3 linked regions of the Callithrix jacchus genome follow. The protein of the gene in region 1 purifies or fractionates together with the protein of each later gene. This does not show direct contact. Links are inferred from orthologs where the notes say so. Each region holds a gene or a part of one and is shown in the gene's direction. Other genes may lie near its edges.

Region 1 (2,865 bases):
GGCAACATTGCAGCTTTTTACTCATTGGTTTTGTCTTGCCTCAGAGTTTTGGAATAGTGTACATTCAGCTTTGACTGGTTCATATTGGTGAGGGTAATAGATCTCTTAGTGCTTATTTGTCCATCAGCAGAAAGCATACAGTTGTACTGGCTACATCCTCACCAAGGAATGCTCTCTTTCACACAGCCAAAAATTAGATGTTTGTCTGGTAGCTAACCAAGCTTCTTGGACAACAGAGCTCTTGAAAGTTAATGTTTCAGTTACAAATCACTACCAGATTTTCTTACATCCACGCTGATCCTAAAATACTGAGGACATAGGCTTCTAAATAAGTATCACTTCAAATGTTGCATTTATTGTATGCTCTAAAGTAGAAGTCTACAAATTATAATGTAACTAACCCATAGCCATTATTTCTAACCAGTAATTAAATTCTTTTGGTTTTTGTCTAGGTCCCAACAAGCATCAGAGTGCTGTGACCTGTTTACAGTTCAACAAGAACTTTGTAATTACCAGCTCAGATGATGGAACTGTAAAACTATGGGACTTGAAAACGGGTGAATTTATTCGAAACCTAGTCACATTGGAGAGTGGGGGGAGTGGGGGAGTTGTGTGGCGGATCAGAGCCTCAAACACAAAGCTGGTGTGTGCAGTTGGGAGTCGGAATGGGACTGAAGAAACCAAGCTGCTGGTGCTGGACTTTGATGTGGACATGAAGTGAAGAGCAGAAAAGATGAATTTGTCCAATTGTGTAGACAATATACTCCCTGCCCTTCCCCCTGCAAAAAAGAAAAAAAGAAAAGAAAAAGAAAAAAATCCCTTGTTCTCAGTGGTGCAGGATGTTGGCTTGGGGCAACAGATTGAAAAGACCTACAGACTAAGAAGGAAGAGAAGACGAGATGACAAACCATAACTGACAAGAGAGGCGTCTGCTGTCTCATCACATAAAAGGCTTCACTTTTGACTGAGGGCAGCTTTGCAAAATGAGACTTTCTAAATCAAACCAGGTGCAATTATTTCTTTATTTTCTTCTCCAGTGGTCATTGGGCAGTGTTAATACTGAAACATCATTACAGATTCTGCTAGCCTGTTCTTTTACCACTGACACCTAGAAAGGAACTGCAATAACATCAAAACACGTACTGGTTGACTTTCTAATTAGAGAGCATCTGCAACAAAAAGTCATTTTTCTGGAGTGGAAAAGCTTAAAAAAAATTACTGTGAATTGTTTCTGTACAGTTATCATGAAAAGCTTTTTTTTTTTTTTTTTTTTTGCCAACCATTGCCAATGTCAATCAATCACAGTATTAGCCTCTGTTAATCTATTTACTGTTGCTTCCATATACATTCTTCAATGCATATGTTGCTCAAAGGTGGCAAGTTGTCCTGGGTTCTGTGAGTCCTGAGATGGATTTAATTCTTGATGCTGGTGCTAGAAGTAGGTCTTCAAATATGGGATTGTTGTCCCACCCCTGTACTGTACTCCCAGTGGCCAAACTTATTTATGCTGCTAAATGAAAGAAAGAAAAAAGCAAATTATTTTTTTTTATTTTTTTTCTGCTGTGACGTTTTAGTCCCAGACTGAATTCCAAATTTGCTCTAGTTTGGTTACGGAAAAAAGACTTTTTGCCACTGAAACTTGAGCCATCTGTGCCTCTAAGAGGCTGAGAATGGAAGAGTTTCAGATAATAAAGAGTGAAGTTTGCCTGCAAGTAAAGAATTGAGAGTGTGTGCAAAGCTTATTTTCTTTTATCTGGGCAAAAATTAAAACACATTCCTTGGAACAGAGCTATTACTTGCCTGTTCTGTGGAGAAACTTTTCTTTTTGAGGGCTGTGGTGAATGGATGAACGTACATCGTAAAACTGACAAAATATTTTAAAAATATATAAAACACAAAATTAAAATAAAGTTGCTGGTCAGTCTTAGTGTTTTACAGTATTTGGGAAAACAACTGTTACAGTTTTATTGCTCTGAGTAACTGACAAAGCAGAAACTATTCAGTTTTTATAGTAAAGGCGTCACATGCAAACAAACAAAACGAATGAAAAAGTCAGATGGTTTGCCTCATTCTCCAAGAGCCACAACTCAAGCTGAACTGTGAAAGTGGTTTAACACTGTATCCTAGGTGATCTTTTTTTTCCTCCTTCTGTTTATTTTTTGTTTGTTTTATTTATAGTCTGATTTAAAACAATCAGATTCAAGTTGGTTAATTTTAGTTATGTAACAACCTGACATGATGGAGGAAAACAACCTTTAAAGGGATTGTGTCTATGGTTTGATTCACTTAGAAATTTTATTTTCTTATAACTTAAGTGCAATAAAATGTGTTTTTTCATGTTAGTATGTCTGTTTCTTCTATTGAAGTAATAATACTTCATTATAAGTAGGATTTGTCTGTAATATTTAAATCAGCAAAGTCTTGGTTTCTTTGCCTCTGTGTGACATAGAAATCAATACTTCAAGCCTATTTTATATAGGAAAGTAAGGATAATGTGCTGCAACTGCAAATTTTATTTCTCTCCTAGACTACAAAGGAGGACACTCCACTGTGCTCATCTCTGTAGATTACATTGGGGTGTATAAATATGAAGTCTGGTTCCCTCTAAGAATCACAAAACTTTTGTGATAATTACAACTAGAAGGCTTATAAGTAACAAATGCATTTTGAGATTTTTGACCACATTTTAAGTGTTTACCCTAAATACTTTCTCTTCATTCTCTCTCAAGCTCCCACTATCCCTGAGAAGTAGGCACTATTATCACCCATTTTATGGACGAGCAAAAATCTGCAGCTGAGACTGGTTAGGCAATTTGTCAAATCATATAACTAGCAGAACACCAGGACTCAAACCCGTATTTCCAA
Region 2 (3,654 bases), on another chromosome or scaffold:
CTGTGACAAAGTCAATAACATCCACCCAGCTGTTCATACAAAGACTGATAACTCTGTTGCCTCTTCACCATCTTCAGCCATTTCCACAGCAACACCTTCTCCAAAATCCACTGAGCAGACAACCACAAACAGTGTTACCAGCCTTAACAGCCCTCACAGTGGGCTACACACAATTAATGGAGAAGGGATGGAAGAATCTCAGAGCCCCATGAAAACAGATCTACTTCTAGTTAACCACAAACCTAGTCCTCAGATCATACCATCAGTGTCTGTGTCCATATATCCCAGCTCAGCAGAAGTTCTGAAGGCATGCAGGTTAGTGTGCAAAAGTTCGTCAAGTGAAAATGCTTGACTTACTGGCATGATAAGAATGCTGAAACATAATTTGGATCTTTTAAGCTATGGAAAGTAAGCAAAACATGCTGTAGTCATTCATCTAAAGTAAGAGTTTGACAGAAGCCTTGATATGCTTAGATGTTGAGGTCAAATTGATGTATCAGATTTGAGAAGTAATCCTGTAAATTGCTTTTTTTTTTTTTTAACCCCCTTTTTTTTTTAAATTGTACTTTAGGTTCTGGGGTACATGTGCAGATCATGCAGGATTGTTGCATAGGTACACACATGGCAATGTGGTTTGCTGCCTTCATGCCCCCGTCACCTACATATGGCATTTCTCCCCATGTTATCCCTCCCTGACCTCCCCCACATCTCGCTGTCCCTCCCTTGGCCCTACCCCCAACAGACCCCCCAGTGTGTGATGCTCCCCTCCCTGTGTCCATGTGTTCTCATTGTTCATCACCTGCCTATGAGTGAGAACATGTGGTGTTTGATTTTTTTTTGTTTTTGTGTCAGTTTGCTGAGAATTAGGTTTCCAGATTCATCCATGTCCCTACAGAGGACACAAACTCATCGTTTTTTATGGCTGCATAGTATTCCATGGTGTATATGTGCCACATTTTCCTTGTCTAGTCTATCATCAGTGGGCATTTGGGTTGGTTCCAGGTCTTTGCTATTGTAAACAGTGCTACTATGAACATATGTGTGCATGTGTCTTTATAATAGAATGATTTGTAATCCTTTGGATATATACCCAGTAATGGGATTGCTGGATCAAATGGAATTTGTATTTCTAGGTCCCTGAGGAAGCGCCACACTGTCTTCCACAATGGTTGAACTAGTTTACATTCCCACCAACAGTGTAAAAGTGTTCCTATTTCTCCACATCCTCTCCAGCATCTGTTGTCTCCAGATTTTTTTAATGATTGCTATTCTAACTGGCGTGAAGTGGTATCTCAATGTGGTTTTAATTTGCGTTTCTCTAATACTCAGTGATGATGAGCATTTTTTCATATGTTTGTTGGCCTCAAATGTCTTCTTTTGAAAAATATCTGTTCATATCCTCCTCCCACTTTTGGATGGGTTTGTTTTTTTCTTGTAAATCTGTTTTATTTCTTTGTAGATTCTGTATATTAGCCCTTTGTCAGATAGGTGGATTGCAAAAATTTTTTCCTATTCTGTTGGTTGCCAGTTCACTCTAATGATTGTTCCTTTTGCTGTACAGAAGCTCTGGAGGTTAATTAGGTCCTATTTGTCTATTTTGGCTTTCATTGCCAATGCTTCTGGTATTTTAGTCATGAAGTCCTTGCCTATGTCCTGAATGGTTTTGTCTAGGTTTTTTTTTTTTTTTTTTTTTTTTGAGACGGAGTTTCGCTCTTGTTACCCAGGCTGGAGTGCAATGGCGTGATCCGGCTCACCGCAACCTCCGCCTCCTGGGTTCAGGCAATTCTCCTGCCTCAGCCTCCTGAGTAGCTGGGATTACAGGCACGTGCCACCATGCCCAGCTAATTTTTTGTATTTTTAGTAGAGATGGGGTTTCACCATGTTGACCAGCATGGTCTCGATCTCTCGTGATCCACCCACCTTGGCCTCCCAAAGTGCTGGGATTACAGTCTTGAGCCACCGCGCCCGGCCTGTCTAGGTTTTCTTCTAGGGTTTTTATGGTGTTAGGTATTATGTTTAAATCTTTAATCCATCTGAAGTTAATTTTAGTGTAAGGTGTCAGGAAGGGGTCCAGTTTCAGCTTTCTGCACTGCTAGTCAGTTTTCCTAACACCATTTATTAAACAGGGAATCCTTTCCCCATTGCTTGTTTTTGTCAGGTTTGTCAAAGATCGGATGGTTGTAGATGTGTGGTGTTGCCTCCAAGGTCTCTATTCTGTTCCATTGGTTTATATATCTGTTTTGGTACCAGTACCATGCTGTTTTGATTACTGTAGCTTTGTAGTATAGTTTGAAATCAGGTAGCATGATGCCTCCACCTTTGTTCTTTTTGCTTAGAATTGTCTTGGCTATGTGGGCTCTCTTTTGGTTCCATATGAAGTTTAAGGTGGTTTTATCCAGTTCTTTGATGAAGGTCATTGGTAGCTTTATGGGGATAGCATTGAATCTAGAAAATACTTTGAGCAGTATGGCCATTTTCACGATATTGATTCTTCCTAATCATGAGCATGGAATGTTTTTCCATCTGTTTGTGTCCTCTCTCATTTTGTTGAGCAGTGGTTTGTAGTTCTCGAAGAGGTCCTTTGCATCCCTTGTTAGTTGTATTTCTAGGTATTTTATTCTCTTTGTAGCAATTGTGAATGGGATTTCACTCATGATTTGGCTCTCTGTTAGTCTGTTATTGTATATAGAAATGCTTGTGATTTTTGCACATTGATTTTGTATCCTGAGACTTTGCTGAAGTTGCTTATCAGTTTAAGGAGATTTTGGGCTGAGATGATGGGGTCTTCTGAATACACAATCATGTCTTCTGCAGATAGAGACAATTTGACTTCCTCTTTTCCTAATTGAATACCCTTTATTTTTTTGCTTGCCTAATTGCTCTGCCTAGAACTTCCAATACTATATTGAATAGGAATGGTGACAGAGGGTATCCTTGTCTACTGCCGGATTTCAAAGAGAATGCTTCCAGTTTTTCCCCATTCAGTATGATATTGGCTGTAGGGTTGTTGTAAATAGCTTTTATTATTTTGAGATACAGTCCATCAATACCTAGTTTATTGAGAGTTTTTAGCATAAAGGGCTGTTGAATTTTGTCAAGGGCCTTCTCTGCATCTGTTTAGATAATCATGTGGTTTTTGTCTTTGGTTCTGTTTATGTGGTGAATTATGTTTATAGGCTTGTGTATGTTGAACCAGTCTTGCATCCCTGGGATGAAGCCTACTTGATCGTGATGGATAAGTTTTTTTATGTGCTGTTGTATTTGGTTTGCCAGTATTTTATTGAAGATTTTTGCATCTATGTTCATCATAGATATTGGCCTGAAGTTTTCTTTTCTTGCTGAGTCTCCGCCGGGTTTTGGTATCAGGATGATTTTGGCTTCATAAAATGATTTGGGAAGTATTCCCTCTTTTTGTACTGTTTGGAATAGTTTCAGAAGGAATGGTACCAGCTCGTCTTTGTACGTCTGGTAGAATTCAGCTGTGAACCCATCTAGACCTGGACTTTTTTTGGTTGGTAGGCTATTAATTGCTGCCTCAACTTCAGCCCTTGTTACTGGTCTGTTCAAGGTTTCAACTTCTTCCTGGTTTAGGCTTGGGAGGGTGCAAGTGTCTAGGAATTTATTAGTTTCTTCCGGGTTTACTGGTTTATGTGC
Region 3 (3,654 bases), on another chromosome or scaffold:
AACCTGTTTTTTTAAACCCTGGATTTGCAGCCCTGACCTTTCCAATTTCTGACCCTTCAACTGCGTGACAGTTCTCCACTGTACCTCATTTTCACAGTTATCTTGCTTTTTCTCCTTTCACTTTACCTCATCTTCTCTCCTATGCTCCTGCCATACACTTCCATGCATGCAGGCATGTACACACATAAACCCACGTAGAGTTCAGCTTCATCCATCGCAGATCTGTATTGTCTTCCTTTTAGCTTGTAGTGAACAGGACTCTGAACCAGGTGCCCGGCTTACCTGCCGCATCCTCCTTCACCTCTTCAAGACACCGCAGCTCAATCCTTGCCAGTCTGATGGAAGTAAGTGACCCTGATCTGAACCAACCAACAGTAGAAAGTGTGGCTCCCTTGCCCCTGTGGATTCTGCTCCTGCTTCCCCTGACTTCATCGCCTTCCCCAGACAAGCCTACAGTAGGAATCCGCTCCTCCTGTGACCGCCACCTGCTGGCTGCCTCCCAGAACCGCATCGTGGATGGAGCTGTGTTTGCTGTTCTCAAGGCTGTGTTTGTACTTGGTATGGGGGTAGAAAGGGAGTGGTGCCAGAAGTGTGTATAGGGTGGAGTGCCAGCTAAACTACAAGGGACAGTCTTTCTCCCTCCTGAAGGTGGTCTCTCTGACCTTTTGGGAGGAGGGGAGGGACAGAAGTATATTTCTGTCCCATAGGGCAGGATTTGGGGTGTTTCTGCCTCTGTGGGCCCAGGGTGGGTCTCCACACAGTGTTCCAATCTCATTCTGCCCTCCCTATCTCCCACCCGTGAACCACAGGGGATGCAGAACTGAAGGGTTCAGGCTTCACTGTGACAGGAGGAACAGAAGAACTTCCAGAGGAGGAGGGAGGAGGTGGCAGTGGCGGTCGGAGGCAGGGTGGCCGCAACATCTCTGTGGAGACAGCCAGTCTGGATGTCTATGCCAAGTACGTGCTACGCAGCATCTGCCAACAGGTCAGTCTCACCTTCCTCCCACACCTCCAAAATGCCTCTGTGTAATATAGTCCTGTTTCCAGCCCGTGATCATACCACCTCCCTACTATACATTGTGTCCCTTACCAATTCCAGCCCATCCCCCATATTGCTAACTCCCTCACTGGTTGCTCCCAGTCCCTGATTGTCAGCTTTCTCAGGAATGGGTAGGAGAACGTTGCCTTAAGTCACTGTGTGAGGACAGCAATGACCTGCAAGACCCAGTGTTGAGTAGTGCCCAGGCACAACGCCTCATGCAGCTCATCTGCTACCCACATCGACTCCTGGACAATGAGGATGGGGAAAACCCCCAGCGACAGCGCATAAAGCGCATTCTCCAGGTAGACCAAGGCCAAGGGGGCCATGGAGGAAGCAATGGGCCCAATCTGGCGAGAAACAATAGGAACCTTGAGAAAAGGAGAGGGAGAGTTAAGTAGAGAGGAAGACAAACAAGGATGTAGGGGAGAGGAGGGGTAGTGAGAGAAACAGCTCCAGCATGGGCTGAGGAGTAAGTCCAATATGGTCTAGACTCCAGAGTAAGAGTGTTATGTGAGGGCACAGCTATCTGGAGTGAATCTAGCTTATCAGTGGGAAGCATAGCATCTGGGGGGCCTAGGTGTGGGTCTTGTATATTTGGCATTTTGGCCATGGCTCAGGAACTGAATAGTAATAGCTACTAATTGCTGAGCACATGTTTTGTGCCAGGTACTGTGCTAGGCACCTGCACACATTTCCTCATTTAATCTTTATGACCCTATGAAGTAGGTGAGCCTCCCTGTTTGACTGATGAGGAAACTGAGGCTTGAAGAGGTTAAGTAACTTGTCCAAGGTCACATAGCTGATAGGTTTAGAGTCAGCCCAGACATGTCTGTGCACTTTTCACTTCACATTGCTCCACATCTTCAGATGACTGGAGAATGGAAAAATAAAGCCGTTGAGGAAAAGCTTAAGGAATAAGGTCTCTTCAGCCCAGAATAGATAGGGCTGAAGAGAGATTAGCTAACAGTAGCCTTCTAATCTCTACAGGACTTTGAGAGATTGTCTTATAAAGGTCCTGTCAGGGACTTTCAGCAGCTAGTCTAAAACAAGAGGAGCAGGCTTCAACTTTAACATCAAGGGTTTCAAGGTTAAGCATTAAGCAGAACTTCCTGATATAAAGGGATGGGAAAGATGTGAAATCTTTCCTGAACCATTTTAAAAATTGAGAAGATTTTCAGCTAGTTTGGACTAATGTATTTTTTCTTTTCTTTTCTTTTTTTTTTTTTTTTTTTGAGACAAGTCTTGTTCTTATCACCTAGACTGGAGTGCAGTGGCACAATCTCAGCTCACTGCAACCTCCACCTCCCAGGCGCAAGTGATTCTTCTACCTCAGCCTCCTGAGTAACGGGGATTACAGACACCCGCCACCATGCCTGGCTAATTTTTGTATTTTTAGTAGAGATGGGGTTTCACCATGTTGGCCAGGCTGGTCTTAAACTCCTGACCTCGGGCGATCCACCCACCTCAGCCTCCCTAAATGTGGTTGTTCTTAAAGATGGGCACATAGAGGTCTCTTTCAGACCTCCAGGAGTCTGATTCAATGTTGCAGGAGATCAGGAATTGGCCTCAGGTTGGTGGGTAGCTGGGGGTAACAGATGATGACTAGTCTGGATGTGGGACCTCTATCACAGAACTTGGACCAGTGGACCATGCGCCAGTCTTCCTTGGAGCTGCAGCTCATGATCAAGCAGACCCCCAACAATGTAAGTAGTACCTGGACCCTCCCTTTCCTGTGCTCACATTCAACTCCTTGTGTTAGGAAGGCAGTCCACCACAGAACCTAGATCTTACCCTTGGGCTCTTGAACTGAGAGATAAGAGGGGATGGGAAAATGGTGAACAAGTGGAGCTGTTGATAAGGGAAATGGGTTGAGAGTGTTGGAGCTCTGAGCTGTGGAGAAGCTTGGTGGTGGTGGTAGAGCCTGTTTCTGTGGCCACAGATGTAAGGATATATGTAAAAGAGAAGACAGTGAGGAATTAGAGAAATACGGAGGTACTAGAAGGCATGATTCCCAACAGATTTGGGTTCCTACCTCCCCATCAATCTCCACCAGTCCTATCCTCCCTCATCTCCCATCTCTCCTACCATCTGCTTTCCTTCACCCCTAGCTACCTATTTTAGCACTTCTGTGCCTTTCATCCTCCCCAGGAGATGAACTCCCTCTTGGAGAACATCGCCAAGGCCACAATCGAGGTTTTCCAACAGTCAGCAGAGACAGGGTCATCTTCCGGAAACACTGCAAGCAACATGCCCAGCAGCAGCAAGACCAAGCCTGTGCTCAGGTCAGATAGAAACATGTTGGGACCCATCCCCTTAGGAGTTTCTCTGCTGGTAGCATGTGTGATGTTAGCTGCATGGAGATGCCAGCATGTCTATCAGGGAAAGGAGAGGGTGGATTGTTCCAGCCTTGCCTGGTTCCCCTGTGACCCTGTGTCTGTTCTCCAGCTCTCTAGAGCGCTCTGGTGTATGGCTGGTAGCCCCTCTCATTGCTAAACTGCCCACCTCAGTCCAGGGACATGTGTTAAAGGCTGCTGGAGAGGAATTGGAGAAGGGTCAGCACCTGGGTTCCTCTTCACGCAAAGAACGTGATCGACAAAAGCAGAAGAGGTAAA

The links.
Region 2: the proteins of FBXW7 (region 1) and KDM6A purify together in Homo sapiens (affinity purification with mass spectrometry; 3 studies listed by BioGRID and IntAct, with this or other methods). This does not show direct contact. The link is inferred for Callithrix jacchus from reciprocal best matches to the Homo sapiens genes FBXW7 and KDM6A.
Region 3: the proteins of FBXW7 (region 1) and MED12 purify together in Homo sapiens (affinity purification with mass spectrometry; 3 studies listed by BioGRID and IntAct, with this or other methods). This does not show direct contact. The link is inferred for Callithrix jacchus from reciprocal best matches to the Homo sapiens genes FBXW7 and MED12.

The regions. Positions count from the first base shown.
Region 1 is NC_133504.1:44,392,861-44,395,725, forward strand, and holds the end of FBXW7 (F-box/WD repeat-containing protein 7), read left to right. Parts: intron 1-452; coding exon 453-721; 3' UTR 722-2,342; downstream 2,343-2,865. UniProt on the Homo sapiens protein: Substrate recognition component of a SCF (SKP1-CUL1-F-box protein) E3 ubiquitin-protein ligase complex which mediates the ubiquitination and subsequent proteasomal degradation of target proteins.
Region 2 is NC_133524.1:45,987,230-45,990,883, forward strand, and holds part of KDM6A (lysine-specific demethylase 6A), read left to right. Parts: coding exon 1-315; intron 316-3,654. UniProt on the Homo sapiens protein: Histone demethylase that specifically demethylates 'Lys-27' of histone H3, thereby playing a central role in histone code. Demethylates trimethylated and dimethylated but not monomethylated H3 'Lys-27'.
Region 3 is NC_133524.1:68,409,619-68,413,272, forward strand, and holds part of MED12 (mediator of RNA polymerase II transcription subunit 12), read left to right. Parts: intron 1-242; coding exon 243-344; intron 345-444; coding exon 445-558; intron 559-809; coding exon 810-985; intron 986-1,164; coding exon 1,165-1,344; intron 1,345-2,673; coding exon 2,674-2,745; intron 2,746-3,190; coding exon 3,191-3,324; intron 3,325-3,487; coding exon 3,488-3,649; intron 3,650-3,654. UniProt on the Homo sapiens protein: Component of the Mediator complex, a coactivator involved in the regulated transcription of nearly all RNA polymerase II-dependent genes.